3 linked regions of the Schizosaccharomyces pombe genome follow. The protein of the gene in region 2 binds, or shares a complex with, the protein of the main gene of each other region. Each region holds a gene or a part of one and is shown on either strand. Other genes may lie near its edges.

What was found.
Region 1: sfc1 (region 2) and sfc6 share a complex: the UniProt entries of both Schizosaccharomyces pombe proteins name them as parts of the TFIIIC complex.
Region 3: sfc1 (region 2) and sfc3 share a complex: the UniProt entries of both Schizosaccharomyces pombe proteins name them as parts of the TFIIIC complex.

The regions. Positions count from the first base shown.
Region 1 is NC_003423.3:2,258,344-2,268,270, reverse strand, and holds sfc6 (transcription factor TFIIIC subunit Sfc6), read right to left. Parts: upstream 6,087-9,927; 5' UTR 6,058-6,086; coding exon 5,115-6,057; exon of another isoform or gene 5,073-5,114; coding exon 4,956-5,072; intron 4,913-4,955; coding exon 4,709-4,912; intron 4,662-4,708; coding exon 4,177-4,661; 3' UTR 4,107-4,176; downstream 1-4,106. Other genes in the region: imidazoleglycerol-phosphate dehydratase His5, read left to right, coding at 955-1,605; hikeshi family nuclear import carrier Opi10, read left to right, coding at 3,241-3,271, 3,398-3,969; ATP-dependent RNA helicase Dbp7, read right to left, coding at 7,328-9,457. UniProt on the Schizosaccharomyces pombe protein: TFIIIC mediates tRNA and 5S RNA gene activation by binding to intragenic promoter elements.
Region 2 is NC_003424.3:1,330,360-1,340,314, reverse strand, and holds sfc1 (transcription factor TFIIIC subunit Sfc1), read left to right. Parts: upstream 1-4,981; 5' UTR 4,982-5,171; coding exon 5,172-5,285; exon of another isoform or gene 5,286-5,341; intron 5,342-5,393; coding exon 5,394-6,650; 3' UTR 6,651-6,968; downstream 6,969-9,955. Other genes in the region: geranyltranstransferase Fps1, read left to right, coding at 615-734, 940-1,863; serine/threonine protein phosphatase PP2A regulatory subunit B-56 Par2, read right to left, coding at 2,259-2,913, 2,969-3,363, 3,414-3,610, 3,683-3,926, 3,995-4,387; phosphoribosylformylglycinamidine synthase Ade3, read left to right, coding at 7,082-9,955. UniProt on the Schizosaccharomyces pombe protein: TFIIIC mediates tRNA and 5S RNA gene activation by binding to intragenic promoter elements.
Region 3 is NC_003423.3:2,743,542-2,755,773, forward strand, and holds sfc3 (transcription factor TFIIIC subunit Sfc3), read left to right. Parts: upstream 1-7,341; 5' UTR 7,342-7,373; coding exon 7,374-11,393; 3' UTR 11,394-11,620; downstream 11,621-12,232. Other genes in the region: DNA polymerase delta catalytic subunit Cdc6, read left to right, coding at 302-530, 583-3,614; hen1 (S-adenosylmethionine-dependent methyltransferase), read right to left, coding at 3,650-4,786; ribonuclease H Rnh1, read right to left, coding at 5,250-5,976, 6,161-6,228; protein Spc24, read left to right, coding at 11,964-12,117, 12,165-12,232. UniProt on the Schizosaccharomyces pombe protein: TFIIIC mediates tRNA and 5S RNA gene activation by binding to intragenic promoter elements.

The sequences.
Region 1 (9,927 bases), on a different chromosome or scaffold from region 2:
GTACTACGAAAAATGGAATGCCCATCCTGATCTTAACTTGATTAGTCTTATAGAGTCAAAGATAAGTGATGGTTTTTTTTTTAAAATATTACGCCTATCATAAAAAGAAGCATTAAAAAATGCGATTAAGAATTGCGTCTTCAATTTCCTTATATATTGAAACATAGTACACACTATACCTTCCCTTCATCTTCGACTAGTTGTTTTTAAAATATTTGAAAGTTTGAGCGTGCTCAGTTTTCTATGTTGCATATAGATCAAAGGAACATATGTATGTTAGTAAATATCATTGCATTCAACTATGCTATTAATTAATGTTTATTAAATGATCCCAACGCATGTTGATGTTGTATTTTGCATTTGGTAACCCGCAGTTGGAATTTTCAGGCATCTACGTACAAAGTAAATAAAGTGCAAAAGGGTCAGCTCATTAGTTTTACGGGTCCTCAATTCGATGTTGCAGATTTTACAAGTTTTTAAAATGTATTTCATTATTACTTTTTATATGCCTAATAAAAAAGCCATAGTTTAATCTATAGATAACTTTTTTTCCAGTGCACTAACGGACGTTACATTCCCATACAAAACTGCGTAGTTAAAGCTAAGGAAAAGTTAATATCATGTTAATTAAATACGCTATTTACAATAAGACATTGAACTCATTTATATCGTTGAATATGAATAACCAATTTCAGCGAATTTTTAACAAACATCGTTCACCTCGTTTAAGGATATCTTGTGTATGGGGTGTTGACTTGCTTTATCGAATAATTACCGTACCTGTAATTGGCTTGCTGGATATAGCGGTAGTCTAATATCTAGCAAAAATCTTTTGGGTGAAAAGGCTTGCAATTTCACGACACCGAACTATTTGTCATTTTTTAATAAGGAAGTTTTCCATAAATTCCTGTAATTCTCGGTTGATCTAATTGAAAAGAGTAGTTTTGCATCACGATGAGGAGGGCTTTTGTAGAAAGAAATACGAACGAAACGAAAATCAGCGTTGCCATCGCTTTGGACAAAGCTCCCTTACCTGAAGAGTCGAATTTTATTGATGAACTTATAACTTCCAAGCATGCAAACCAAAAGGGAGAACAAGTAATCCAAGTAGACACGGGAATTGGATTCTTGGATCACATGTATCATGCACTGGCTAAACATGCAGGCTGGAGCTTACGACTTTACTCAAGAGGTGATTTAATCATCGATGATCATCACACTGCAGAAGATACTGCTATTGCACTTGGTATTGCATTCAAGCAGGCTATGGGTAACTTTGCCGGCGTTAAAAGATTTGGACATGCTTATTGTCCACTTGACGAAGCTCTTTCTAGAAGCGTAGTTGACTTGTCGGGACGGCCCTATGCTGTTATCGATTTGGGATTAAAGCGTGAAAAGGTTGGGGAATTGTCCTGTGAAATGATCCCTCACTTACTATATTCCTTTTCGGTAGCAGCTGGAATTACTTTGCATGTTACCTGCTTATATGGTAGTAATGACCATCATCGTGCTGAAAGCGCTTTTAAATCTCTGGCTGTTGCCATGCGCGCGGCTACTAGTCTTACTGGAAGTTCTGAAGTCCCAAGCACGAAGGGAGTGTTGTAAAGATGAATTGGATTATGTCAGGAAAAGAACGACAATTTTGCATCCAAATTGTCTAAATTTTAGAGTTGCTTGAAAACAATAGAACCTTACTTGCTTTATAATTACGTTAATTAGAAGCGTTATCTCGTGAAGGAATATAGTACGTAGCCGTATAAATTGAATTGAATGTTCAGCTTATAGAATAGAGACACTTTGCTGTTCAATGCGTCGTCACTTACCATACTCACTTTATTATACGACTTTAAGTATAAACTCCGCGGTTATGGTAAAATTAATGATGCACAAACGTCCGATTCCATATGGGTACACTACAATTAAATACTTTTAAGTAACGCTGATTTCTTATTTTTTATCCTTGGTGTATTTATTGTTTATACCATGGAACGATTGAATACTGTGCTACTCTTTATGTAATATAACGAATTCAACTGTTCAACGTATGTGACTGCTCTCTGCTTCTCGGTATATATTTACTTGAAGGAATTAATTTTTCTTTGCCAATGGTCTCTTTTACCAATTGCAGTCTGGCTTAAAGCAATGAGGTTGTAATTAAATGGCTTGAGACCTAGAACAAACACCTTTTACAATCCTTGTTTACTGGTTTTGATAGTAAATTCGGTTCGCTTGTGGTGTACATTATATTTTTTAGGCTAGTCGTGATTTTTTGATAATATCAATATTCTTAGATTTGAGACATTCATGCTTTTTAATTTGATCAATCGTTTGTATCTTCATTAATTAGTAGGTGGTTTGATAGAACATTTAGTTGCTTGTTTGACTACAAATATCTGCAGAATGGATTCGGTTAATAAAAAAAATGTTTGAGGAATTAATTTTCGCTTTGGAGTGGAGGAACAAAACAGAATGCGTAATTGTACTATCACATATGTTTTATTGAATATATTTTATTTGTCCAACCGTACTGTTGCTAGAATTTGTAGCTAGTTGTATTGAAACTGACATCTGCTTAAAAACAGTTGATAATTCGTCCCTAATCGTTCACTGTTTGCGTTAAAAAATGCGGTTATGAGGTTTTAACTCAGCAGTCCAAAAAAATCGTGTTTGCAGAAAGAAGCGTTAGATGCTTTTCATACGCAAAAAATCATAATTAAATAGGTAAGTACTAAGCTCAGGTACTTTGAATAGTAAAGTACCCATGACACAAACAAGCATTCCATGTAGATATATATATATATATATAATTTTTTTTTTTTTTAGTAGTTATAACTTATTTATTAACGTGGATGAATCGTTCAAATAAAAAAAAATACCATATAATAATAATGATAATATTACAACGCATAAATAGGCTTGTAAGTCAACAAATCCAATTAAAAATAAATAAATAACAACAAAAATAAAAAAAAAAAAAAATTATAATAAATTTTAGAACGTTATGCTAATTCTCATTCTATCCTCACCCTGTGTACCAGTCCATACTACGTCATCAAATGTAGCAACCTTGTTACTTGATTTTTACTTCTTCTAAGTAGCAGGATTTTAGAACGGGATTTGTTTTTTACTCCTAACCTTTCGTACAGGCCAATTTATTGTCAGACGACTTTTTCAAAGAAAAGACTACTCTATATTTTTTTGTTTCCTGCGTACTTGTAGTTCTTCTACTTAACGAAAATCATGTTTGGTGCCATCTGTGCTGGTCGATTAGGTATGTCGCTTCTCTGGCACTTTCGCACAATTTTTACATTAAACGAAGTTTTTTCACGCTAGAAGTTCAAAAATAAAACTTAAATAAATGTTTTTATTATATACACATAACTAATACACAATCTAGTGCAAACGAATTTGCAACAAGTCGCCGATAATCAATTTGTCTTCCAACTAGACTCTGCGGAAAGCTTGAATCACATTGTGGTTTTTCTTTTGCCAAACTCTCCATTCCCAGTCGGAATGGGTGCTAAGGTTTACTTTCAATGGCCTGGAAAGCCTTTTCAATTTTTAGGTTATTTGACAAACGAAAAGCCTAGTGCAATTTTCCGTTTAAAAAACACCATACAAACTCTTTCGGAAAATGAAAATTGCGTTGGAATTACTGCCATGTTAGGTATTAGTGTAGAGCCTTTGACCAATTTCACAGAAACACCAGCTGTAAGCACTTCAGCATCGAATGTCATCGCCAAACCCTTACCTCCCGTAACTTCTGTTGCCCAAAAAATTTTAACCAACTTATATAATTTCCTAGCAAGCTTTGCGACATCTCAACTTCCTCCCAACTCCATTGGGTTAGGTGACCTGCGGCCCAATGATACATTCATACCACTTCGAGTTTTTCAGGATTGGCATGCAAAATTTTTAAACAAGTTATCAAATAATCCAAACTTTTTAGATTCTGAAGATCAGATTTGACATTTAGGTTGAATGCCGTTTTTGAACCTCATTTTTATTTCCTACGAAAATTACCGACATGGTACATAAAACCATATCTTAATGATGCAGAAAAAATAGAATAGAATACAATGTATGTGTTTTTCTCCAAAAAAAAGTGATGAAACACAAATGCTAGATCTTATTTATAAAAAATCGTATATATTGTATTAATAAAGGATAATTTTATCATCTTCTTTCAACGGCTGAGAGATCTTCAACTCGTAGGATTCCGCAAGCCATACCACTAGCTAACCAACCAGCATAACCTTTGTTTCCATTCCACTCGACTTTGTTCACTTGGATTTGCCATGGATAAATATACATGTCTAGCTTTTTGGCTTTGGGAAGCCTTGGACGAAAACCATCTAACATACGATATGAATCCTGTTTTTCGCTATATTCTAACTGGAATATTCTATGCACATTAGCTTTTTGTTTGTGAGAGAATCCCAAAAGACGGAATGGATTGACGATCGTAACTATTCCATCCGAAGCAGCACACGCTACAAAAGGATGGAACTTGCTGTTTGAGAGAGATATTATTGAGCCGTTTCTTTCATCTAATAACTGTGTCGAAGTGCCTCGTAAAGATTCGATGACCACAGATTGAGATTCGCTACAGGAGATAATCGACTGCAACATGTTGTTCCAAGTGATTGTGTAACAAATATCTGATATTAAGTTAGTTCGGAAGAAGCTATAATAATAATAATCGTACCTCGTTTATGAGAAAGCGGTCTATTATCAATTATGGGATCGCGAATATCAAATATTCGAGTATAACAATCAAATGCAGTGGTCAGAAAAAGCCACGGAAAGTCATCCAGGCACTGTACTACATTATGTATGTAAGAATCATGATATGGGATGTAAAAAAGGGGACATTCCTGGCTGCTCAAAATATCCCACAGAGCTAAATAACCTTATACTTAATTAGTAACAATAATTTAGTTTAACAGGCTTACCGTTAGAGCAGCCGACCAAAATTTGATGTATATCGCCATGTTCTGGGGAAACCCATGTGCAACAAGAAATAAGAGAATCATTAAATCCAAAAGTAAAGTCTGCTTGTTCGACGAATACTAGTTCATGTTAGGAGAATGAAAAAAAAAGATGTTTAATACCATGAAATTTTACTGGTGATCGAGGTACACGAAGAACGCGCAGCTTTCCATCGCTGCAGACAACTGCTAAAAACCCAAGAATGGAATCTTCAACCGAAATTGTGGGGCACCACTCTAGTTGAAGAACACTTCCCCAATCATGGTACAATATAAATTCCGACTTAAAATTGGTTTTGTTTTCTAGTTTCCAAAGTTGAATTTGATTCCGTCCAGAAGTTCGCATAAATACTGATTCAGTAGTTTCTGAAAATTTTAGCATCCCTCCTACAGCTAAAAACTGTGTTTCTTTATTTGTTGGTAACCATGAAACAGACGATAAAGGAATCCCTGTATTCACCACAAACCCCGATTTCTGTGGATTTTCCTTAAAAGGGTTTACCGGTTGACAGGGTTCAACTTGCTGTGGTGATTCAAAATGGAAACTTATGCTTAAATTTTTAACTTCAAACAAATAAAAAGGATTTTCGGAATATGATAATAACTGCTGTCCGTCGAGATTCAGAAGTGTTTGCAACTTGGAATCAGACGACGTCTGACCTTCAAAGGAAGATTGACCAGGAGCAGTCTCATAATATTTCCAAATTTCGATTAGCCTCCTTCCTTTATTTAAAGATTCAACGTGAGTCCCGTAAGAATTTATTAACTTCTCTTCTAAACCTTTTGAACTTTGCTTTTTAGCACTTCCACGAGTAGTACTAGAATTCTGACTCTTCGGTTCATTCCCAGCGCCTTTGGAAGATGAAGGTGTTAAAGGTTGACTTCTAATAGGTTTTGAGGGGGTTCGACGAGTAGTACTTACCCTTTTTCGGTTTCTTGACGGTGTTTCTATTTCTATGTCTTCTTCAGACATAACGTTCTCTAAAACAAAATCGCCGTCATCATCATTATCTTCATCGTTTTTATAAGAGCTTGGATTTTCGTATTCCTTAGATTTAGGGCCCATACGCGTCAATATTCATTAGGAATGGTGGTGAACTTCATCAAAGCAATATTGACCTAATCAAAACCTCGTTTGCAAGTGCTCAAAGAAAATATTTATTTCAAATAATTATTCCACTTTGAAAAAATTAATTTGTTAAAAAATCCCAATTCTTAATTTGTTGCTGTTCGTCTTGGTTCAGCTCAATCCTGCTTTAATTGTGAGTGTGAAACTTAGACTTAACTTCAAACATTTGTTGGTTAATACGAGTCCATGCAGAAACTTCATAAAGAATAAATTTTGCAAATAGTTAAATTTATTTTAAGTATTTAACACATTCAATGAAATTCGATTGCTCTTTTTACCAGCCTATCTCTCCTCATTTTTAGTTCTGTTAACACGATTTTGTCAAAGGAAGTATTTCGGTAATCGAAAAAAATATATATATAGTTATATTGAATCTACTAAACGTTATGTGAAATGTTAGCTCAATTTCACTGGTAAATATGCAACAAATTTCTTTCAATTACTACGGGTTTGCTGAGAGCATTATTCTGACACTATTAAAGGATTATAGGGAATAGTATGTGATGCTACTATTAAATAATTTAATCAGTAGTTCAAACTTAATATTAGGAACCTCCTATAGCAGTTTTTTCTTGATCAAATCTTTAAATTTTGATGCTTGGATTTCATTATTTTCTAATTGTTTGTTTAATTTTAAAAAGAATTATCGTTAGGTACAAACGTCTACGGCCATACCTAGGCGAAAACACCAGTTCCCGTCCGATCACTGCAGTTAAGCGTCTGAGGGCCTCGTTAGTACTATGGTTGGAGACAACATGGGAATCCGGGGTGCTGTAGGCTATTCCTAACTTTTTTATTTTTTGTCTTGAATCTTTTAATAATTTAAAATAGTAGCTCCACAACTGACATTACAAATATTATTTGGATAAGGGATAGTGAGTCCTTGAAATTGAGTTATCACATAACGCAATGGTGCAAGACTACTACATAAGCAGCAATAGTAATATTATGTGGTGTTTGATATATCTCAGCTGTTATACATAACCTGTATAGCAGATACAATTGCCAAGCATTACCATGGCACGCCATTCATAATTCCTCTCAATACTTGTTTAGAAATGATAACTTAACTTCTCCATAATCACTTGCAAGAGATTTTATCTTCGAAAGATTGTTATTGCGTTTAAAAGATCGAAATTAAATTATATAAATATATACAAATGCCAACCAAAAACCGTTTGAACCTTAAATTTTACACAAATAATGTTTATCCTATATTGTGTTCCGTTGAATAATGTTCCATTGCTTTTCTGTGCATCAAAGCAGCAATGTCTTTCGATGATTTACTTTTACCTTTATCAACCGAACCACCCTGCTTTCTTGGCTTTGAAGAATTTGCACCAGATATTTTGCCCGGCGCTTCTCGCAAAGCGAAGGACTTAGCAATATGTCCCAAATGAAGGTCACGCATGTTAAAAATACTTCTTTCTGATGAAAGATGTGTTGCATAAGCCCTCACATAAGAAGTAAAAGCCCTTTTTGCAATATTCCTCATAGGTTCATTTTCTAATATAAAACGCTCCAATTCCAACTGCCATTCTGTTGCACGATCTTGCCAATCATTGGTGTTTGTTTTACCTTGCGAAAAACCAGCACTCAACAACCCAGATGGACCATTAGGCTGCTCCAATATATTAGCGCTAACTGAAGACTTTAACAAATTAATATATTCACTTTCCTTCGGGAGTAAAAACATAATAGCTGCACCATTGTGTCCAGCCCTAGCTGTTCTGCCAATTCTATGCAAATAATCGTCGGTACTAAACGGAGCATCATACTGCACAACCAAATCAACATTTGGCAGATCAAGACCACGGGCTGCCACATCTGTACACAAAAGTATATGTGAACCAGAATCTTCACTTGAAGAAAAAAGATTCAGCGTCGAAGTCCTGATTTGTTGAGACAAGGAACCGTGTAATCGGTATACATTTGATTTGCCATCTATTCTCAGAGCTGGAGCATTTGAAATGATATCACCCTCAGAGTCCGGTTTCTCTTTCACGGCCTCTTCCATTTCATCAGCGTTTATCGCACATCTAAAAGCTTCAAAGTGAAAATCAACACTATCTGAACAAGAAAGAAAAATTATTATTTTCTTATATGATCTAACATGACTTCGCAATAGGGCAACCAAGCTTACAAGCCTCAGTTTTGGAGGAACAACAACATATCTTTGAAGAAGCTGCTCGGGTGCCTGGCTATAACCGTCATTGGTTTCCTCCACAATAGATGATTTTAAGTACAAAGCATCTTTTAAAGCGGAATCACTTAAACGCTTTACGGTATCTTTCATTGTAGCGGAGCAAAGCATTGTAACCTTACGAGAAGGAATACTGAGATCCTTCTTAATAATACTGCTTTGTGATTCCAAATAAGATAAAATTTTAGTCAAAGTTTCTTCAAACCCCATATCCATCAACCTATCACCTTCATCCAAAACGACCCATCGTACTTGACTAACATCCAGTGCTTCCGTATTTTCTAAATGATCCGCCAAACGACCAGGCGTTCCAATTAAAATATTAACACCCTTTCGTATGCGAGCCTTTTCACTTTTTTTCTTCTCACCACCTATCACATTACAGGAGACAATCCAGTGTGATAACGGATTATTGTTGAGCTTGTTAGCAACGTTATAAATTTGTTGGCATAACTCCCGGGTTGGAGCCATAATCACAGCATATATACCGCTAGTACGGGTGTGTAAGTTTTTAGGAAGTCGAATCAATCGTTGCACAATTGGTAGTAAATAAGCCAAAGTTTTACCCGATCCGGTTTGTGCTTCAATGAACGCATCCTTATCATCTGTGTTTAGCAATGCTGGAAGACAACAGCTTTGGATAGCAGTGGGAGCGCTAATGTTCATTTTATTATTTAAATGATCAGCCAGTTGAGTATCTAATTGAACACCAGCAAAGTTGGTAGTTTTAATAGGTGCGTTGGATGCCTCCTTTGTAGTCCCAATATTACTAATTTGATTATCCTCAAGATTTTGACCAACGTCCTGTGAAAAATGCTCAGAATCATCACCCGTAAACAAAGATGTAACAAAAGTATTATCGCGCTTGTTGCCTTTTAGCTCATGAGCTGGTTTTCTAGGATCAAACACAGGATTTATTACTTTTTCCTTTTGTGAATTTTTATAATCAGTGGAAGCACCATTTGTGCCTGAATTTCTTTTAACGGTTGATTTTGATGATTCATTAGAATTGCGTTTTTGCCTTTTTCTATCTCTAGCGCGATCAGTCCAGCGACGACTAGACTTCAAGGCTTCAGGCTTTCTTGATTGAGCATTATCAACAACAAAATTGAGAAGCAATGGTTCGTCCGCCATTTGCTTACAGTTGATGAAAATTTGAAAACTTGTGCTTCCACCGTGCTTAGTTTAGTTAATTGTACTCCATTACGCTATGCTATACTAGACCGCGTTAAATACTTGAGACGCATTCAAGTATTCTTCCAAAAGGTCATTTATTACCTTTTTACAGCTATAGGTGATTTAAGTAATATTAAACCTAGAGAAGCACTGTTAAAAACATAAATTACTCCTTCAGTCGGACTTTATTGACCTAATTTGTATTTAAAAATATTAATAGATACTTTGCGTATAAGAATAACAATAAGCGCAATATATATGTTTCTTTATAAGATAATATGCTTCAGGAGGAAATACCGCGCTCATGCACATCTATAAATAACTTTAACATCGAAATTCTTATACGTGTTAAAATGTTTAGTCGAAACTCGTTATTTGTATCCGTATTGACTGTAACGTACATTAACAGTTCGCGTCTGCCATGATGT
Region 2 (9,955 bases):
AATTTAAATGTTTTGGAGGTTGATTAACATAAAGAATTAGGCATTAAAGGAGAATTATTTTCAAATGCTTTTGTGTGTCTAGCTACTTGTTTACGATCTAAATTCAAACTCGAGGAAACGACGTTAATGCGTTATTTGGCAGTTGCACCAAACAAACGATCTTAACCGTTTTGCTCGCTATCTAGTTTTATTTACTGCACTACGCTATCGTAATAATTGCTGTAATGAAATTAAAATATCATACAATCGAGATTAACCTTTCAGAAATCTATATGACTTTTGGTCACAATTTGTTCGTTACCTAGAATTAAGTAACAAACAATGGCAGCATGCATACGCGAGCCATCGTTATGTAGCGCATCCACTAGGTTAGTTTAATCGCATCGTCTACCATTGACTAGTTTCCTTTTTTTTTGAAGTAGTTTTGAGTTTTCAAGTTCTTCGTTGTAAGTGATAAATTTTTTAAACATTGAAAAATGTTCGTGCGTTTTGCTATTTAGCAGCTCAAGGTATTGGAATTTTGTTCCTGACAACCGAGGGTTACGCTTTTGTATGATTATTGTTTGATGCAAAACGCATTTGTTATTTCATTGAAACCCTAACCAAATTCTTAGATGTCTGCAGTTGATAAAAGAGCAAAATTCGAATCTGCTTTGCCAGTTTTTGTTGATGAAATCGTCAATTATCTCAAAACTATCAATATTCCTGACGATGTCACAGAATGGTACAAGAATGTATGTGAGTGTAGAGTTACAATATTTTCCAATGTCAATGAATGTTTCTAAAACATTGATCTCTTAAAAAAAAAGTGTTATACTTTGCGCTGTTTTTATTGCATCGGCATCGTGTCATATCATCTGTATTTTAATTAGATCACATCAATTTTTTATTTCTTTTTGGGAACCTCGAATAACACATGACTAACTGCTGTTTTTGTAGAGTCTTTTCCATAACACATTAGGTGGAAAGTATAATCGTGGATTATCTGTTATTGACAGTTATGAAATTCTTCTTGGACATCCTTTGGACGAAGCAGCGTACATGAAAGCAGCTGTTTTGGGATGGATGGTCGAGTTGCTTCAATCTTTTTTCCTTATTGCTGATGACATTATGGATGCTTCCAAGACTAGAAGGGGTCAACCATGTTGGTATTTAATGCCTGGCGTTGGTAATATTGCTATTAATGACGCGTTTATGGTAGAATCTGCTATTTACTTTCTTTTGAAAAAGCATTTTCGTCAAGAGTCATGCTACGTTGATCTAATTGAACTTTTCCACGACGTAACTTTTCAAACGGAATTAGGGCAGCAACTCGATTTACTTACTGCTCCCGAAGACTCCGTCGATCTTTCGAAGTTTTCTCTTCAAAAGCATTCTTTCATTGTAATTTACAAGACTGCATTTTATTCCTTTTATTTGCCTGTCGCATTGGCAATGCATCTCGCTGGTGTAGCTACTCCTGAGAACTTGAAATGCGCCCAAGACATCCTTATTATCCTTGGTAAATACTTCCAAGTTCAAGATGATTATTTAGATTGCTATGGTGATCCTACGGTAACTGGTAAAATTGGGACTGATATTTTAGACAACAAATGTTCTTGGATTATCAATCTTGCTCTCGCAAAGTGTACTCCTGAACAACGTGTTATTTTGGACGACAATTATGGACGTAAAGATAGCGAAAGCGAAAAGAGAGTTAAAGCTGTTTTTGAGGAACTCAATATCCGTGGTGAATTCGAGAACTATGAGGAATCAGAAGTTTCTGAAATCAAAAAGCTAATTGATGGAGTTGATGAATCAACCGGTTTGAAAAAATCCATATTTACCACTTTCTTAGGAAAGATTTACAAAAGAAATAAGTAAATTTCTTGTTCTATGTTTTTATTCGACTCAAATTGGCAATTGCGCTGTAGATACTTTTTAGAGAATACATCCATTGTTGACAATACCAACTTTTAATATTGAATCATTGTATTGGTAAAGGACCTGCAAAATACTACATAACTTATATCATTAAAAATCCAGTTCTCATGAGGCGTATTAAAATATGTAACAAAAGGTGGTAATACGACTCCAAAATGAATCTTGACACTAGTATATAAAATGCGGTGTATAAAAGATAGCAAAAACAAAATGAATCCCAATTGGCGTTTACGCGTATAAACAGGGAATTTCTAAAGATTACAAATTAAATAAACTTTATTCTCTGCCGCGACCAAATAGTTGTAACATATATAAACATATTCCTTACGAAGGAATTATCTTAAATAATCAGTGGGTTTGTTTTCCGCCGCTAATGCCTCAATCTGACACCATTGCTGTTTTCTAATAATCATAACTTCTTCTTGCTTTATAATGGCCTGTTTATAATCCTCAACAAGTCCATTAAAAAAGTCCGCATCCATATCGACAAAAATTTGTAAAACATTACAAGCAATAGCTTGTATAGTGCTATTCCAATGCTCATTAGCAGTTTTGTAAAGAGAAGGATATATTATAGGGAGAAGGGTTACTACGTTTTGGCTGACAAGACTTGTGAAGTACTCATTGCTCCACAGACATAAGGCACGTTCGGCGACCTGGAAATGCATACTAGATATTGAGCGAGCTAGTTGCTGAAATAAAGGGGACATTATATTAACAAATTCGGAAGGCTCCAAAACTTCAAAGATATCTTCAATTTCATTCAAAAACAGTAATTCTTTAAAGCTGTTTATTCGTGGCCAGTACTTAAGAATGCCAGTCAAGACTGCCTTCGTTAAAGAAGGATCTTTATCGATAAACTGAACAATGCAATACGTAAGTTGGGGATGGTATAAAAAAACAGATTTAGTTTGATGTAAAGGAATAAGCACTTTGGACAAAAATATTTTATGTTCTTCTTTTAAAGGTACAGCAAATCCATTAATAATACTAATAAGTTAGTTTGTAAATCAATTTAGGAACTATAACCATTAATGAAACATACCTTCCAAGTATCTCCAGTAGTTCAGCGATTCCATGAAATTTTTCTCGTTCATAAATGAATTGCAAAAAAACATTATTCATAGACTTTCTAATGTATGACCTAAGGTTCAGAAATTTTCCGTAAATCCTATGTAATGTTGTTTTCAGAAGTTCGCGCTCACGCGGGTCTTCTGTGTCAAATAGTGCTAGCAAGCGATTAAAAAACCTACGATCAACGAGCGATTTTGCTTTACTGGCTCTAAAGTCAGGAGATTCTAGGAACTTAATAAATAATAAATACACCTCTTCCAAGTGAGGCCACGCTGGCTCCAAAAAAGGCTCATCGTCTAAAGCAAACATATCTGATGAATAATCATTAAGAGCAGGTGATATAGGCCGAAATACATTGAGGGAAAACTATAGTGATTAGATTTTTACAGTAATAAAAAGCAGAGGAGTAAACATACTGTATTGACAACATAAGGAAAAAGCGATGCGGAAGAAATACCGCGGTTTTCAGACACATAATCTATCATTTGTAATAAGGCTTCTCTTTTTATTTCTTTGCTAGCCAAATCGGAAGATGGATCATTAAAATCGAAAATAATATTGCATTGTTCAAGCTTCTTTATAAACAGTTCTTCACGTTCAGAGGTATGAACATCTAATTATATTAGCACAAGAATAAAAAAAAGTACATTATTAAAATAAGATATAAGAATCTTACTAAACGTACCATCAAATGAAGGCAACCGAACTAATGTTCTTTTCTCAGATACTTGAAATTGAGAGGAGTGTTCGCGTCGAGGTACTGGTCTAAGACTATGCGGAATGTCAACATTCTCAGCACCTGCTAAAAATTTATTTAAGGGAGTTGGCTGTGAAACTAAATAAGGAGGAGTGGATTGTGGGACAGATAAAAATGAGGCAGAAGATATGGAATCATTAGGAAATTCGTCTATGTTAGACGATACAGAATCCTACAAGTAAGTTAGTATGAAAATAATCATTTTGGTAGAAAATATTAAACTAACCGACGTATACTTACATTTTTTGGTTCTGGATAATTAGGTGGGAAATGGTTGGCGTCTTTAACTTTAGAAGTTTCAATTACGGGCAAAAACGTAGAGTAATCAGAATCCTCATGTCCAGATGCTAGAACCGTCGTATGTATTTTTTTATCAGAATTTTCATGTTTTTCATTATTTGAGTTGGCATGATGATTTCGTTTGTGCTTTAAAGTATCTTTTAGGAAATGACTCTTAAGTTTTTTAAGCTCGTGTTTTGAAGAATGGTGAGTGTCTGTGTGCTTCACGTCGTCAGTTTCCACGTAAGACCCATTTTTAGAGATATAGTGGCTTTTTGAATGACCATTTTTATGTGACCCTTGTTCATCCTTCAACGAAAGTGCTTTTACAAATTTACTCCTTAATCCTTTCATTAAAAGGCAAATGAGATGATTTCCTTGCTCAATTGCAAGTTATAAAGATAGCGAATAACCAAATTTAAAAAACGAATGATTCCTAGGATTGGGACCGAATGTAATTTCGAAACTTAAATGAATGCACCTATTACTGAATATGTAAACGTTGTCTTTCTTCAAAAGAACGTCTGTTAATAAATTTGTACACAATGATGAGTTAGAAAAGGGTAAATTTATGTGGTGGGTAAATAAATGATTTGTTCCTTTCAAGTACTCCGTAAATATGTCTCGGCAAGTCAAAGAGTTAACGGCAACAACCTCGGTAACAGAATTCTGAGCCCCTTTATAAGATGGGTATATAAGCTAAACACCCTAGGGAATAGTTAAGAGGGTTAACCTTGAAACTTCCTGTAATGACAACTTTACTATGAGTTATGTTTGGCAAATGAAGCAAAACGGGGCGAGTGGCTCGAATGTTATGGGACGCTACCGAAGGCTGGTAGTATGAAATAACGTACTTGGGAAATTGGCTGGTACTGTGAATTAACGGATCGGCAAAAATCTTGTGTTATGATGTTACTGTATTGTTGTACGATGTCCGAGGTTTGGAACAACATTATTTTAGCTGCCAAAAAATTAAAATGCTTTTGAAGCAATGATATTGATGTGTATCAATTAATTTTTCATTTGAGGAATAAGTTATCCAGATTATTAATTAAATTACTTTAAAAGCAAATATATATAAAGTCTTTGCCCTACTTTTTCCAGTGTTTTATAGCATACCATATTAGGCATATATCTTATGAATAGTCTAAAAATTTCTGACAATGAATATGCACTCATTGAGCATCCGGGCTTTGCTAATAACAAGGATGCATTTTTTCAGACATTAGGCGGTGTTCAATCAATTCAAAAGGTAAATTGCTAAAAAAGTATAGGAATGACCGGCTTACATCTTTAAGCTTCCCCTTTTATAAAACATGAATTTGATAATCTTTTTTGACCTAATACTAACAATTTCTAGGCATGTCAAACTTCATTTCAAAACCCAAAACAAGCTCTGTTGGAGTTGAATCTAAGGCCTAAAGATAAATACCATCATCCAGTACAAGCTCGAGTGCAATCCAGAAATGACCTATTAGTAACGATTAAAAAAATGGACAACTCTGTGCAAAATGTCAGTAGAATTCGTCAAGTTTTCTTATTCAGAGATATGGCTGATTTCCAGTATAGTACTCAAAATTCACCATTCGTTCAAAAATTAGATTCCACTCTGCGAGTGCTTGACTATAACGCCATTAATAAGTTTTCCATCGATCTAACTCCGGTACAAAGAAAACATGTCGACATGCCTCCTCCTCCTGTTTTCTCTCAGACAAGTCTACCCATGTCTTATAACTTCTTGCAAAATCCACTAGTAGGTCGAGTTCGGCTACCTAATGGGAAAACTACAATAGTCAATCTAAAAGGTCAATGCAGAGTTTGGATTATCACTACAAATATGGGGGTTGAAAGTGTACCTACATGTAGACACTCAAAATTAGGTGAGCCTTCGAAGACAATTCAGGAAGTTATAGAAGCTTTAAAACCTCTTTTTGAAAAACGACCCGTTTGGACGAGAAGAGCCTTATTAAATCATCTAGACCCGTCATATACTCACTATTTGAAATTTGCTCTTCCTTACCTTTCTTATTTATGGACTTCAGGTCCATTTAGAGATACATATACGCGGTTTGGATACGATCCTAGAAAAGATTCTAATGCAGCTGCTTACCAAGCTTTGTTCTTTAAACTCAAGCTAAATGGAAAACATAAAGGGACTAAAACTCACGTGTTTGATGGCAAGACTTTGTTTCCCACTAATCGTGTTTATCAAGTGTGCGATATCGTAGATCCCACAATTGCACCACTACTGAAAGATACTCAGTTACGTTCTGAATGTCATCGGGACACAGGATGGTATAGAAGCGGTCGTTACTATAAGGTTAGAGATCTTATGCGTGAAAAACTCTTTGCGCTGATCGAAGGAGAAATGCCTTCTGAAGTCGCGGTGAATATGATTTTAAACGCCGAAGAGGTAGAGGAATCTGACAGATATTCGAATTTTGATGAACAGGATAATACAGATTTAAATGATACTGTTAGAGGTTTGAATACTTCAGCAACAGATGATCGGATAAATGATTTAATGAGGAATTTAATGAAGAGAAGTCAAGAACATGAAGGCTTTGAGGATTTAGAGGAAATTGATGATGACTACGATGATATATTTGGTGATTGAACCCCCCCCCATGTCAAGGTACTTCGATACAAAAAATTATACTCAACTTAAATTTCATTATATTCTTTTTTGTTTAACTGACCATGGTAAATGGCTTGTAAAACATAACTTATGAGTAGGTTTCAACTATCAATTGTTTCTGATCTTTAATTCTCATTTTTTAATTCTGAAGTAGCTCGCTTGATTTTGTGGTTACAAATGTCAATAATTTTATCAGATGTTTAATCTTACAGCTGCTTAGTGGTGCGCTAGTCGATTGCCCCCGGATGAACCAAACAATAATACTACGCTGCATAGCGCAATTTAAAGTACATATTTTTTCCTGACTTGTTAGTACATAAACTGAGCCAACCTATTTGGCGAGGTTGTAATTGTATCTCCATTCTACTATTTCAATAGTACTTTTGGAGTTTGTATCATTTTAGACGAAAATGTTGGTTTATTATGGTGGATCTGCCTTGAGCGTTCAGAGTAAAAAAAAAATTTTGGAACTAACAGTTTCTGGAGTTTCTGATCTAAATGCTGTTTATTTCTACTTGATCTATACTAAGTCCAATTCTTCTTTAAATTGCGAAAGTCTGCGACCAATTTTGTCTGATTTGCAAGAATCTGAATTCAAGCCTGATGGAACAACGATGGTATATGTGTTTCCACGTCCAGGAACAATTTCTCCTTGGTCATCCAAAGCAACGAACATTGCCAATGTTTGTGGATATAAAGATGTGATTCGTATAGAGAGAGGTATTGCCTATTCAGTAGTTTTTAAAGATGACATTTCAGAAGAGATGCTTAAATCTGCTTTGAATCATCTTTATGATCGCATGACTGAAGCTTTAAGATTTAAACTTCCGGAAGAGGATGAAGTTTTTGATAAGCACGAACCAGCTCCACTTGTGAGAATAGAGCTTAACTGTGGGCAAGGTGGTGACAAGCAGGCTGCAACCGAGCGATTGAATCATGCCAATAAGAAGTTTGGATTAGCTTTGGCACCTGATGAAATTGATTATTTGGTTGAGTGCTATACCTCAGAGCCTAGTTTAAAGAGTCGTGAGCCTACAGACGTCGAACTTTTCATGTTTGGTCAAGTTAACTCAGAGCACTGTCGTCATAAAATTTTCAATGCTGATTGGACTATTGATGGCGAAAAGAAAGACTACAGTCTATTTAAAATGATTAGAAATACCCATTTAAAAAATCCCCAATATACAATTTCTGCTTATTCTGACAACGCCGCTGTCTTTGAGGGAAATTCGGGAACGTTGTTTGCTCCAGTCAATGGTATCTGGTCAATGAAGGATGAACCGGTTGAGTTTCTTGGTAAAGTTGAAACACACAATCATCCTACCGCTGTTTCTCCTTTTCCTGGTGCCGCTACCGGATCAGGTGGCGAAATTCGTGATGAAGGAGCTGTCGGGCAAGGCTCTTTATCCAAAGCGGGACTTGCCGGTTATAGCGTTTCAGACTTAAACATTCCTGGTTACAAGCAACCTTGGGAGTTGGATGTTGGAAAACCTTATCACATTGCTACTTCTCTTGATATTATGCTTGAGGCTCCAATTGGCAGTTCGGCTTTCAATAATGAATTTGGACGTCCTTGTATCAATGGCTATTTCCGCACATTTTGTATGGAAGTTCCACGCGGCGATGGAACTCTTGAGATACGTGGTTATCATAAGCCAATTATGGCCGCTGGTGGTATTGGCCGTATTCGCAAGCAGCATGCTTTCAAAAAAAGTATTGCACCTGGTAGTCCTATTATTGTTCTAGGAGGTCCTGCTTTATTAGTTGGTTTGGGTGGAGGAGCAGCATCCAGTATGAATGCTGGTGAAGGCTCTGAGGAACTAGATTTTGCATCTGTTCAACGTGGTAACCCTGAAATGCAGCGTCGTGCCCAAATGGTTATTGATGCTTGTACAACTATGGACGAGAATATAATTCAGTCAATTCACGATGTCGGTGCTGGTGGTGTATCCAATGCTTTGCCAGAATTGGTTCATGATGCTGGTTTGGGTGCCCGGTTTGAATTACGCGATATCCCTTGTATTGAACCTAGTATGTCCCCTATGCAAATTTGGTGTTGTGAGTCGCAAGAGCGTTACGTTTTATCAGTTAAATCAGAAGACCTGGATACTTTTAAATCCATTTGTGAAAGAGAACGATGCCCTTATGGAGTTGTTGGTTACTCTACTGTAGAGCAACGTTTGATTTTGACCGATAGACTTTACAATACTACTCCAATTGATTTGCCTATGGAAGTACTGTTTGGCAAGCCTCCCAAGATGTCTCGAGTAGCTGAAACTCAAACAATTCCCTTATCTAAATTTGATTCTTCTTTGAAGTCATATCTGGCGCCATCGAGTGACCCAATTCTTGATGCTGTGGAACGCGTATTAAGAATGCCTGCTGTTGCGTCTAAATCCTTCCTCATCACCATCGGAGATCGGAGTGTCACTGGTCTGATTGCTCGTGATCAAATGGTTGGTCCTTGGCAAGTACCTGTAGCCGACGTTGGCGTAACCGTCACGTCCTATGGAAAGGGAATTAACACTGGTGAAGCCCTCGCAATGGGTGAAAAGCCAATCAGTGCGTTAGTATCCGCTGCTGCCTCCGCTAGAATGGCTGTCGCTGAATGTATTATGAACCTTGTAGCAGCATCTATTCCTGCTTTAGATCGTATTCGTCTTAGCGCCAACTGGATGGCAGCTCCTTCGCATCCTGGAGAAGGTGCAAAACTTTATGAAGCAGTGCAAGCGATAGGCTTAGAACTGTGCCCATCACTTGGTATTAGCATTCCTGTGGGTAAAGATTCAATGTCCATGAGTATGAAATGGAATGAAGACGGTAGGGAGAAATCCGTAACTGCACCTCTTTCACTTATAATTACTGGCTTCTCTCCTGTTGATGATCTTTATTCCATTTGGACTCCGCAATTACGTAAAGTTGAGGACATCGGATCCACCTCATTGATTTTTATTGATTTAGCAAATGGAAAACAACGTTTAGGCGGTTCTATACTTGCTCAGTCCTATAAGCAGTTGGGTGATGAGGTGCCGGATCTTGATAATTTAGACACTTTCAAGAATTTCATTAACGTTATTACTCAACTGCATAAAACCAACTACATTCAGGCTTATCATGATAAGTCTGACGGAGGTTTGTTTGTTACTCTTAGTGAAATGGCTTTTGCCGGTCATGTTGGTATTGAATGTGAGTTAGATTCTTTGTCATCCGATAATATTGCGGCTTTGTTCAATGAAGAATTAGGCGCTGTAATTCAAGTTTGTGATCGTGACATTGCCAAGGTA
Region 3 (12,232 bases), on a different chromosome or scaffold from region 2:
TAGCTTGATGGAGATTGGTATAAACTTGTATATTTGATTTCTTTCTCCATCGTAATTTGACAGCTAACCTATTTAATGTGGTTTTACCTTTTCAGCAGTTGACACTCATACCAAAATTTATTGGTGTACGCTTTGAACTTACCTACAAGATATTCGCCTAAGTACCTATTTGTTGTTACCTACAAAACCCTTTTAGTTGCTCGTCTTCCTACCAAAAACCAAGAGCATGTAAGCTTGGTGTCTTCCTTATTTACCATTTTCTGTTCTAATTTTCATAATAAATAAAAAATTAATTACTAGAATGACAGATAGGTCTTCAAATGAGGGCGTCGTGTTAAATAAAGAAAACTATCCATTTCCCCGAAGAAATGGTTCAATTCATGGCGAAATTACAGATGTCAAACGGCGACGTTTAAGCGAAAGAAATGGATATGGTGATAAAAAGGGCTCATCCTCAAAAGAAAAAACTTCATCTTTTGAGGATGAGCTGGCTGAATACGCTTCACAATTGGACCAAGATGAAATAAAATGTAAGGTTTTTTGGATAGCTAACCATTTATTAGTATACTGACTCCTTGATAGCTTCAAAAGATCAGCAGTGGCAACGACCAGCTTTACCTGCAATAAATCCTGAGAAGGATGATATTTATTTTCAGCAAATCGATAGTGAGGAGTTCACAGAAGGATCTGTACCTTCAATTCGTTTGTTTGGTGTTACTGACAATGGAAACAGCATCCTTGTTCATGTTGTGGGATTCCTTCCGTACTTTTATGTTAAAGCCCCGGTTGGATTTCGACCTGAGATGCTAGAACGTTTCACACAAGATTTAGATGCTACTTGTAATGGGGGTGTGATCGATCATTGCATTATAGAGATGAAGGAAAATTTATATGGATTTCAGGGAAATGAAAAATCTCCATTCATTAAAATCTTTACTACTAACCCTCGTATATTATCTCGAGCACGAAATGTATTTGAAAGAGGAGAATTCAACTTCGAAGAGCTTTTCCCTGTTGGTGTCGGTGTCACTACTTTTGAGAGCAATACGCAATATCTTCTTAGATTCATGATTGACTGTGATGTTGTTGGTATGAATTGGATTCATCTTCCTGCTTCAAAATATCAATTTCGTTACCAGAATCGAGTTTCTAATTGTCAAATTGAAGCTTGGATTAATTACAAAGACTTGATCAGTCTTCCAGCTGAAGGCCAGTGGTCTAAAATGGCCCCACTGAGGATCATGAGCTTTGATATTGAATGCGCAGGTCGCAAAGGCGTTTTTCCTGATCCCTCTATTGACCCTGTAATTCAAATTGCAAGTATAGTAACGCAGTATGGAGACTCCACTCCTTTTGTTCGTAATGTCTTTTGTGTTGATACATGCTCACAAATCGTTGGAACACAAGTATATGAATTTCAAAATCAGGCTGAAATGCTTTCAAGTTGGTCAAAATTTGTTCGTGATGTTGACCCAGATGTTTTAATTGGGTACAACATCTGCAACTTTGATATCCCTTACCTCTTGGATCGAGCAAAAAGCTTACGCATTCACAATTTCCCATTACTTGGCCGTATTCATAATTTTTTTTCTGTCGCAAAGGAAACCACGTTTTCAAGTAAAGCATATGGTACTCGTGAAAGCAAAACCACTAGTATTCCTGGGCGTTTGCAGCTTGATATGTTACAAGTAATGCAGCGTGATTTTAAGCTTCGATCTTACTCTTTAAATGCAGTCTGCTCTCAGTTTCTAGGCGAGCAAAAAGAAGATGTACACTATTCTATCATCACTGACTTGCAAAATGGCACTGCCGATTCTAGAAGACGTTTAGCTATTTATTGTCTGAAAGATGCATATTTACCCCAACGCTTAATGGACAAATTAATGTGTTTTGTTAACTATACTGAAATGGCAAGAGTAACAGGTGTACCGTTTAATTTTCTTCTTGCTAGAGGCCAACAGATTAAAGTTATTTCTCAATTGTTTCGCAAAGCTCTTCAACATGACCTAGTTGTTCCAAATATACGTGTAAATGGAACAGATGAGCAATATGAAGGTGCTACAGTCATTGAACCGATTAAAGGATACTATGATACCCCTATTGCAACACTGGATTTTAGTTCACTTTATCCTTCGATTATGCAAGCCCATAATTTATGCTATACGACATTACTTGACTCAAATACTGCAGAATTATTAAAACTTAAGCAAGATGTTGACTACTCAGTGACTCCGAACGGAGATTATTTCGTTAAACCACATGTTCGTAAAGGACTACTCCCTATTATCTTAGCTGATTTACTTAATGCACGTAAGAAAGCAAAAGCAGATCTAAAAAAGGAAACGGACCCATTCAAAAAGGCTGTTTTGGATGGTAGACAGCTAGCTTTAAAAGTAAGTGCTAATTCAGTATATGGATTTACTGGTGCTACCAACGGACGTTTGCCGTGTTTAGCAATTTCTTCTTCTGTTACCTCTTATGGTCGACAAATGATTGAAAAAACCAAGGATGTTGTAGAAAAGAGATACAGAATTGAGAATGGATACTCTCACGATGCAGTTGTAATCTATGGTGACACTGATTCTGTTATGGTTAAGTTTGGCGTTAAAACGTTACCTGAAGCCATGAAATTAGGAGAGGAAGCAGCTAATTATGTTTCAGACCAGTTTCCGAATCCTATTAAACTGGAGTTTGAGAAAGTGTACTTTCCATATCTTTTAATTTCCAAAAAACGTTATGCAGGATTATTTTGGACTCGTACAGATACTTATGATAAAATGGACTCTAAAGGAATAGAAACTGTCAGAAGAGATAACTGTCCTCTAGTATCTTATGTGATTGACACAGCTTTGAGAAAAATGTTAATTGATCAGGATGTAGAGGGTGCACAGTTGTTTACAAAAAAAGTTATTTCCGATTTGTTACAAAACAAAATTGATATGTCACAACTTGTAATCACAAAGGCATTATCAAAAACTGATTATGCTGCCAAAATGGCACACGTTGAATTGGCTGAGCGAATGCGTAAACGAGATGCTGGCTCCGCCCCAGCCATAGGAGATCGCGTTGCATACGTTATTATTAAAGGTGCACAAGGTGATCAATTTTATATGAGGTCGGAGGACCCTATATATGTATTGGAAAATAACATTCCTATTGATGCAAAATATTATTTGGAAAATCAACTCTCCAAACCTTTGCTTAGAATTTTTGAGCCTATTCTTGGTGAAAAAGCTAGCTCTTTACTTCATGGTGACCATACTCGGACGATTTCCATGGCAGCCCCCAGTGTTGGAGGAATAATGAAATTCGCAGTAAAGGTTGAGACCTGTCTTGGATGCAAAGCTCCCATAAAAAAAGGTAAAACTGCTTTATGTGAGAATTGTCTAAATAGATCGGCGGAACTGTATCAACGTCAGGTTGCTCAAGTGAATGATTTAGAAGTTCGTTTTGCTCGCTTATGGACTCAATGTCAGCGATGCCAAGGAAGTATGCATCAAGACGTCATTTGTACCAGTAGAGACTGCCCCATATTTTATATGCGAATTGCAGAACACAAGAAACTTCAGCAATCTGTTGACTTACTGAAAAGATTTGATGAAATGTCCTGGTGAAAAAGATGGATGTTTTTAATTACTAAATGTGTATATCAAACGTAATGATGAAAAGTTATAATAAAAATTCTACTTTTCTTAAGTACTTTTGCAATGCGAAAACTAAACGAGTTTGCCAAAGCTATACCTTTATGTTTGCTTTTTTTTAATTCAGGACAATATGATAAGTAAATTGAATCATCATAATGGAAGGCATGTCGAATGAGAGGCGAAGACTCCCAGATAAACAAGAAAGGTAATTTTACTGACAAAGCACACTTGCCAGCAATAACCTGGAATAAAAGTAAACAGTGACGTCCAAATAAATGATCAAAAAATGCTTTTTTCAGAAGATTCATAAATTGCTGCACTGTTGGAGGAAATAGTTGCTCCATAAATGGGTATGTAATCTTTTTGTAAAGAAGGATGCTTGAATTTTGGTCTTTTAAGAAGCAATGAGAAGCAGCATTGTTTTTAGATTGATGAAATACTGCGATTTGGGTGCAGAAACCGTAAGTAGATGATGGGCGAAAATGTAACAAATCGTCACCATCTATTAGATCATTTAGCAAACCACAGCCCGTAAATTCAACAGTATACTCTGGGTATCTTTTACAAATTTTATAAGCCCATTTAGCAAACTCTTTTCGATCCCATTCAAAAACGTGTTCAGGATGTCTAAAATTGGTAGAAGTACGAGATGATATACTACTTGTCAAGGTTGATAGTTTCTCAAAGATTGTGTTAAATTCAAAATTCGGAGTTGACACTACGCAAACATTGGGCTTCAAGTTTCCAAAAACAAGTTTTTCAAAGGCTAAAATCTCTGCAACTTGACAATGCTCAATAAACTCTGAAGCTACAACCGCATCAACATGTTTATAATGAGTAAAATCTTTAATATTACCAAGCAATAATTCAATATGTAGCGGTCGCCAACGTAGTTGTAAAAAGTCTTCGGTTCTAACCTGTAAAGCCTCAGTAGCTCTTTCAATACTTTGTTCGTTAATATCAATACCGGCCAGAAATTCTATAGGCACTTGATCATTGCAAGGTACTAAATATGATAGAAAACGAGCATCTCCACATCCAATGTCTAACAAAGATCGCACAGGGAAGCCTCCTTGAAGTATTTTAAATAATTTCCTTCGACGCTGTACATGCAAAGGTGGGTAAAAGCTAGAGACACCCATTGTCTAAACTCAAAGTATTTTTGGTACACTTTCTTCACGTTAGTCAAATAACTACCTATTAACTGTGAATGTTCGTTTCAAAACCACTATTTAAGCCTTTTCAAATTCATTACGAAGCGAATTGTTATTAATTCTTTGCTAAGTCCATTGCAATATGATTTCGATGACTGCCGTTAAGACACCGAACCAAATTTAATTGAAAAGGGAATTGTTGACTAGTGCGAAGTGTCATTTTCAACGTTAAATAATAAAATTATCTTAGCTCCGAATCTATACTTTTCAATTTCCTCTTTAAAATTGTTATAATAGCATGATATTTAATTACAATAAAATATGTAGCATTATGCAAAACGAGAACAAAAAAAGCACATACAACCAGCGAAGAGTAGACGAAAATTATACGGCAAATTTCAAAAGAATGTACCTATATCCATTTTTTACAGCGCTCATCATAGATGACCATTTACTCAGAAGCTCCTCGCCGAGCAAGCATATCGGCTTGTTGATTACCGTAATCGGTACTGTGTCCTTTCACGTACTCTAGCGAAACATTTCTGTCACTCATCAAATCTGAAGCGCGGTTGATCAAATCCAAATTTTTTACAGGTTGTGAATTGCTAGTCTTAAAGTCATTTTTCTTCCATTTAGGCAGCCATGTGGTTAGTGACTTAATGGAATAATTGCTGTCAGAGCGGATGGTCAAATCGCCAGATGTATTTTCAAGGGCTAGGATTATGGCTTGCAATTCCGCACGATTGTTGGTTTGCTCTTCCCCAGCCAACGGTACTGAAATATTTCTTGGGTCATCATTTCCGAAAAAAACTCCACAGCCAGCAACAGCTCCTTTTTTCCCATTTCGCAAACTAGAACCGTCAGCATAGACGACCTGTCGATCCGAGCACGCAATTGATTTTTCATGAGTGTCATTCGAAAATATTTCAATATCTTTTTCGGTACTATAACTTCTAGAAATTTTCTTTCTATATTTATCGGAGTGTCTAGCAGAGTAATTTGAGGAACTAGAAGAATATGGAGAGTACCCATAACTTGTTGTACTGCGGCGATATGGGCCAGAAGACGAGGAGTAGCGACTTCCTTCGGTCCTGCAAAATTCCTGAGCAGCCTCATAGCTGTCAAATTTCTTGTAGCGATTACCTCCATAACCTTTCACCTGATCCGACGCCTCATCCCTAAAAATTAGTAAGAGTTTGTTAAACAACAAGGTGTATCCATCAAGGAAATGTTAATAAGAGATCATCTTGAAAAAACCGATTCAGATTGAATTGAAGCAAAGCATACGACCGTATCGAAACTTGCTTAACGTGAAACTTATATTTAACAACGAAACCATTTTCTTGAGATACGCAGTCTTACCATGTACTATATATACCAGTATTTCGACCACGCGCTACTGCATAGTATGCACGCTTATTTCCACCCATTTCGTAATGCGAAGATTCAAAAATAGCTTTAAAATAGTAAAACTTAGTAAAACTTGGGAGTTTTTCCCAAAACTTTGCAAAAATACTTGTAGTTGACAAATTGAGCTGTAGTCTTATGAGTTATTGAAAATAGTGCAGAAAAAAGAAGGATTTGGATTTATAAATTTATATTAATTTGTAAAAGAGTTCAATTGACGATTAATAATGGTAGAGCATCAGGAAATGTCACATATCTGGACTACTGCAGTACGATACATAATAAAACGGGTTTGCTTATTTACTAGCTGCATAATCTCTGCACACTATATTACGGTAAGCTAGTTAGATCTCCGCGACTGTTATACCGCCTGACATTAAAATTAATACACAATTGATAGTATATTTTATTAGTTAAAAGCTCCTTAAATATAGAATACTCATTTTATGTCCTTAGCTCATTTAATGTAGTCTAATTTCAAACAAGCAGAAAAATGTATTGTTTGTTTAGTAATAATTGTTTAAGTCATTTTACCTTTTTAAGATTATACTTTCATAAAGAATCCTCATCTCTGTTGGCCTCTGAGTAGTTTGCAAATTGCGCAATTGTTATTCTAAAAAGAATCTTTTAGTCAGAGAAAAGATTATGCTTTTGCAGTGGGTATTGCCGCGCGTAGCAGAAAATTTGTAAACTATTCCACCATGTGCCCTTTTCAATTTAGTGCTAATTAAATGTTCAGTTTTGCGGACTTTAGCGTTCACTTCAATATTCCAGAATTCATATTTAAAAGAAAAGTTTTGAGAAAGTTTTCTTACTTTGTTTTATCAGCTGTATATATCATTTAGAGCTGTGCTTTATGTAACCATCATTTCGGTTACAAGGTTGGCATATGAGAATATACTCATAATAGCTACCATCTGCTTACTGAATAAGAGCATATTAAAATGTGAACCGATTTAGTCGTTTATTGTGTCGGTATACTATTTAGCAGTCGTATAACTCAATACATCGGTTAAAGTATATTAAATATGTCTTTAAGTTCTTCTGTATAAAATTTAACAAAATTTTAAAAACACTCATAAAGTATCACTATTTTCACTAACTTTCACCTCTCGAACCACGCTTTCCTTTTGTACATAGTGTTAGAACCAGCGTTCGAATCGCCCTTATGGATTCACTCATTCGGCATTGCTCAGAAGAAATTGCTTTGGATGGATCATCGGGATGTAGCATAGATCGTTTATGGGAATTTGCTGCAAATTTTTTTTTTCGGCAAGGTATCGTACAAAATTTAGACGATAACTATAAAACATTTGTGTGGCCTTTAATTTTAAAAGAAGATGGAATTGAGGTTTGGATTGAAGATGAAGATGCCACTGGATTACGAAGTAAAATGCAAGAAATCCCTTGGAATTACCAAGATATCACGATTGAGTTACGCGCTCGTATACGCTTATTCGCTTCAGAAGACAGGCAATGGCTTACTCTCACTTACAAGACGAAGACAGATTCAAAAATTCAACCTTTAGCCTTTGAATTATTGTCTTGCATATCTAGATATAGGCAGGAAGGTGTTGATAGAATCCAATTATGTAAGGAGACTAAGCAGGAGCCTCGAAGCGTTTACGGTCGTATTCAAGCGCTAGAAGATGCTTCTTTAATATCAAAGGTTGCCATTAATCGAAGCAGAGCACAAACTGCTCTGCTAGTTCTAAAGCGATTTGAGTCAGAGAACAGCACAATTAACGAAACTGTTGCTCAGGTATCTGGTAAGCAAATTTATAACACTGAAAAAATTCGTAGCAATATATGTGATGCTGTTCAGTCTTCACGTAACGGAATTTGCCGTCATGTTGATGCTCGTGCGATGGTGAATTTAAACCACAGTCGCTGGGAACGAAGATATTATGCTCGACAAGTTACATATTTACACAATAATGGATACCTTCGCAAATGCCTTACTTTTGTTCCTAACTCTCCAGAGCGTTGCATTCGCTGTTTACAATTTATAAAACCTTACATTTCATCTTTAGACGCAACTGAGGACGACGTTGATTTTACTGAAGTGGATGATATTCCAGAAGACGATGAATTAGAGGAAGAAGAACCACTCCTTCCGTCAAAAGAAGAATTTGATGCTTCCTTTTTGCAGCCACTAGCCGACGTTGGACCTACTCTTCCCCAATGGTCTCGTTTTCGTCCATTGGAATTCCAGTGTTTTGTCTTAATCAGAAATGCCGGATTTCATGGGGTAATCACTTTACAAATTTTGAGTGGCCTTACAGGAATACGTTTTAACAAACCTTTATTTAAGCTCCTTGGTTCTTTAGTGGAACATCGTTCCAGTGTGCCAAACCATCTCTCACACATGAGTATTACTCGATTTGAAGATAAAACTAAAAAGTCGAGACAATATAGATACTTTACGCTTCAGTCTCAGTTAAATCGCCTTATTCGAGATGGCATTCCTGCCGAAACAATTTCGAAGCTATTACCTCACGTTCACTCACTCGCTGGTGAATTTTCTCCAATTGACTCTTCCCTTTTCTTAAATTCTCTACATCATAAGGGAAATATGGAATCTAATGCGGAAGTATCTCCCGACGGAATGACTTTATTGCCAAGAAAAAGAGGTAGACCTAGAAAATCTGCAAATATTTCTGTAACCTCATCTCCCATTCGGCCCTCTAAAAATGAAAATAATCTACCTTCCCTTGCTATTTCACCAGTTTCCGAAGGGTTCATCCAAAATGCTACAATTTCTACCCCTAGCACTAGTAGCAACCTAAGCATAGCAGGATCTTTGACACCCTCGAAAACGTCACGAATTTATAGAGGCCTTGCTCCTCTAAAAAACCCAGAATTTAATGAAGACCATGTTAAAAAAGCAGAACATTTGGAGCCTCTTTTGAACGTGTCATCAAGTGTTCCTTCGAAGAATTTCACGGTTAGTTCGCCAGATCACCTAAAATATGGAAACACATCTTCTTTACAAGTCTCTGATTCTCAAAGCTCAATTGATTTAGACTCTTCATTTCATTATCCCGTTTCAGTAGACTCACAATTATCCCATTCGACAGGCAGTCTAATGGCTAACTTTTCATCCCCTACGAAAAAGCGCCGTTTGGAATCTGTAGACTTTATATTCCTACAACGTAAAGGTTTAATTCTTTCCTATCTCGTTGAACAGAATGGGGCTTTTGAAATATCTCGAAAGATGTTTGAAGACTTGGCAGACCTTAAAGTGCGACGAAACCCGGAAACTTCTAGGACCGTTATGGATAGGAGAACTTTTCAGCAAACCCTTGAAAAATTAATGCAAGAGAAAAAGGTTCGTAAATTAGTGATTGCAACAAACAATGGACTTGGGAAGCTCGTTAGAAAAGATATCGTGGTACAATACGATATGAAGCCTGATTCACCTAGGTTTCAACAGTTAAGAGCTCAAATTACAACTCCTGAAATCGAAAAACAATCAACTCCAGAAATATTAAAAGATGTAGATGTCGATTTTTTGAAAAGGAATACTTCTTTGTCAAGGCGTAAATCTATGCCAGCGGAAATAAAACGTCACAAGGAATCTTCTGAGACTAAACCTGTTGATAAAGAGGAGGTGAAGAAAAATGAAAAGGAGAAAGACGATCCAATGAGACTCGCGCAACAACTTTTAGAATCATTGGCTCCCGATTTCGCACTGCACGAAAATACCCAACAGAAAAGCCCAGTAGAAAAACCTAAAAAGTTGCGGAAAGATAGATACGCTTCAGTGGAGGAATTTGATTATTTTTCTTCAACTGAACATGCAAGCAAACGTTCAGTTAAACGCTTCAAAAATGATTTTACATCAGATGAGGATGAGACCTTGATTAGAGCGGTTGTTATTACTCAAATTTATTATGGTGGGACCAACAGATTAATCAAATGGGAGGCTGTACAGAAATGCTTTCCTAACCGGGACATATATGCTCTTACTAGAAGATATTTATCCATTAGACAACATACAAAATTTAAAGGCTTGCAACAGTTTTTATCAGAAAATTGGCAGCAAATGTACAAAGATGCTGTCTCAAGAAAAGATTTAATGCCATATCCTGATTCTGTTGATGATTTTGATCCTACCCCATATGTTAAGGCGTCTTGTAGACCTTATATGATTAGTTCTTCAAATCTTGCTACTACTAGGTTACCGAGAGACCTCGTTGACGTTTATGAAACTTACAATATAGAGGTTGTTAAACAAGAAACTAATTTCCGGGAAATGATATTTGATCCTTCCCTGTCAGTTGCCTCGAAAATGAATGCGTATTGTGATATGCCTTTTACCATGCCGCTTTCCTTAAATGACAAACAAAATAATGAAGGGGATGAGAATTGTGAGAAAGGTCAGTTGTTTGATGCGAAGTCTACTATCAAGAGCATCGTTGCCATCCCAGACGCTACATATGATGCTCGGTTTTCGCAAGAACGTCTTATGCAGTATCCAGAAGATATTCTCATCGCTGCTCATCAAGAATTATTGGATAAGAGAATAATTACTAGAGTTAATTCAGAAAACAGTAGATTGCAGCCTGGTCGAAACTTCCAGTTTACGGAGAAATTTGCAAGTTCCCTCAAGTCTCCTTTACCTCCATTTTTATTGTCACAAGCCAAGCGATTTAATAAATTTTTATTGGAGGGTTTTCAAAATCATAAGAATCATTTATTTGAAGAAACATCTAACAGTGGAACTCTCGCATGTATCCTTGATTTATTATCTCAAGGAAAGTTGCAAATATCTATAGTCGGAAGCAAGTTTAATGAGTATGGTCTATCTGAAGGCTATCGTACTCGTTTGCTAGAACATGACAATATCAATGTAACTCTTGTTCTCAGCGGCAAAGAAAGTGAATCTAAAAAAAATTATGGTGTTACTGAAAAGTTGGCAACTCCACCTTCGCATGAGCCACGGCTATGGTTAAATGGTAAATGCGAGCTTATTGAGATGATATGGATGAATATCGAGCAGTCCATTGTATACCAACTGCTTCGAAAACCCGGAATCTTGAGATCCCAACTGACTAACTTACTATTTCCCGGATTAGAACCCCGTGAGTTTAACGAAGTACTTGATTACTTTATAGCAGCAGGTGCCGCTATTGAAAAGGATGGCTTATATCTAAACCATAATTATCTCTTTAAATTAACTTAGCCTTTTAAATGTCACCATGATGAGATGATGCAAGCTGAGTATTTTCTTTCAATAGGCTTGTCGATTTGGAACATTTATATTACAAGCAACGATTTAATGTTTATTTGTACAGTATTTAGGATTCATTTTTAAATTATCTAAAAGATACCACGCTGTGTCTGCTTCTAATCTATAATTAATTATATTAGCGTGTTTTGAATTAATCTGATTTCGCGTTTTCTTCCATCTAAACTTTATATCGTATAAAAATCAAAAAGGTTTCATCGACTGTTTTGCTGAAAAGGTGAAGAAAACTTGAATCGAGGTTATCTCTTTTCTTTCTGTTTTATGTACATAACTTTAGCTCCTATAGAAAAAAGAAAAAACCTGCATCATGTAGATTTGTTTAACTAATTTACGTATGCATATATATATATATATATATATATTAGTAGAGTAAGGTTGATTTTCTAACCATACTTTATTTACGGTAGCATCATTCGTACCTTTTCGTACGTTACGACCACGTTGAAAGTTTTCAAAGAAATTACTTTTTAAACACAAAAGAACATAAATAAAAGAGAAGTAAATATGTCAGACAGTCCAATTGAACTTATGCGGTCCACGCTTGCTGGTTTTCAAATTGCACCAGATGTGAAAACCATCTCAAACATTCAAGACATTCGCGCACAGATACAGAGCTTCAGAGAAAAAGAATTGGAAGGATCTCAAACCAAATTTAAAGGTTAGTTTTAATCTAGAAATAAACGACCATGCATTAACTGTGAATAGTGCTTTCAAGAAAATTAGAAATATCTACCCAGGCTATGGAGTCATTAAAACAAACAGCAGAGTCATCA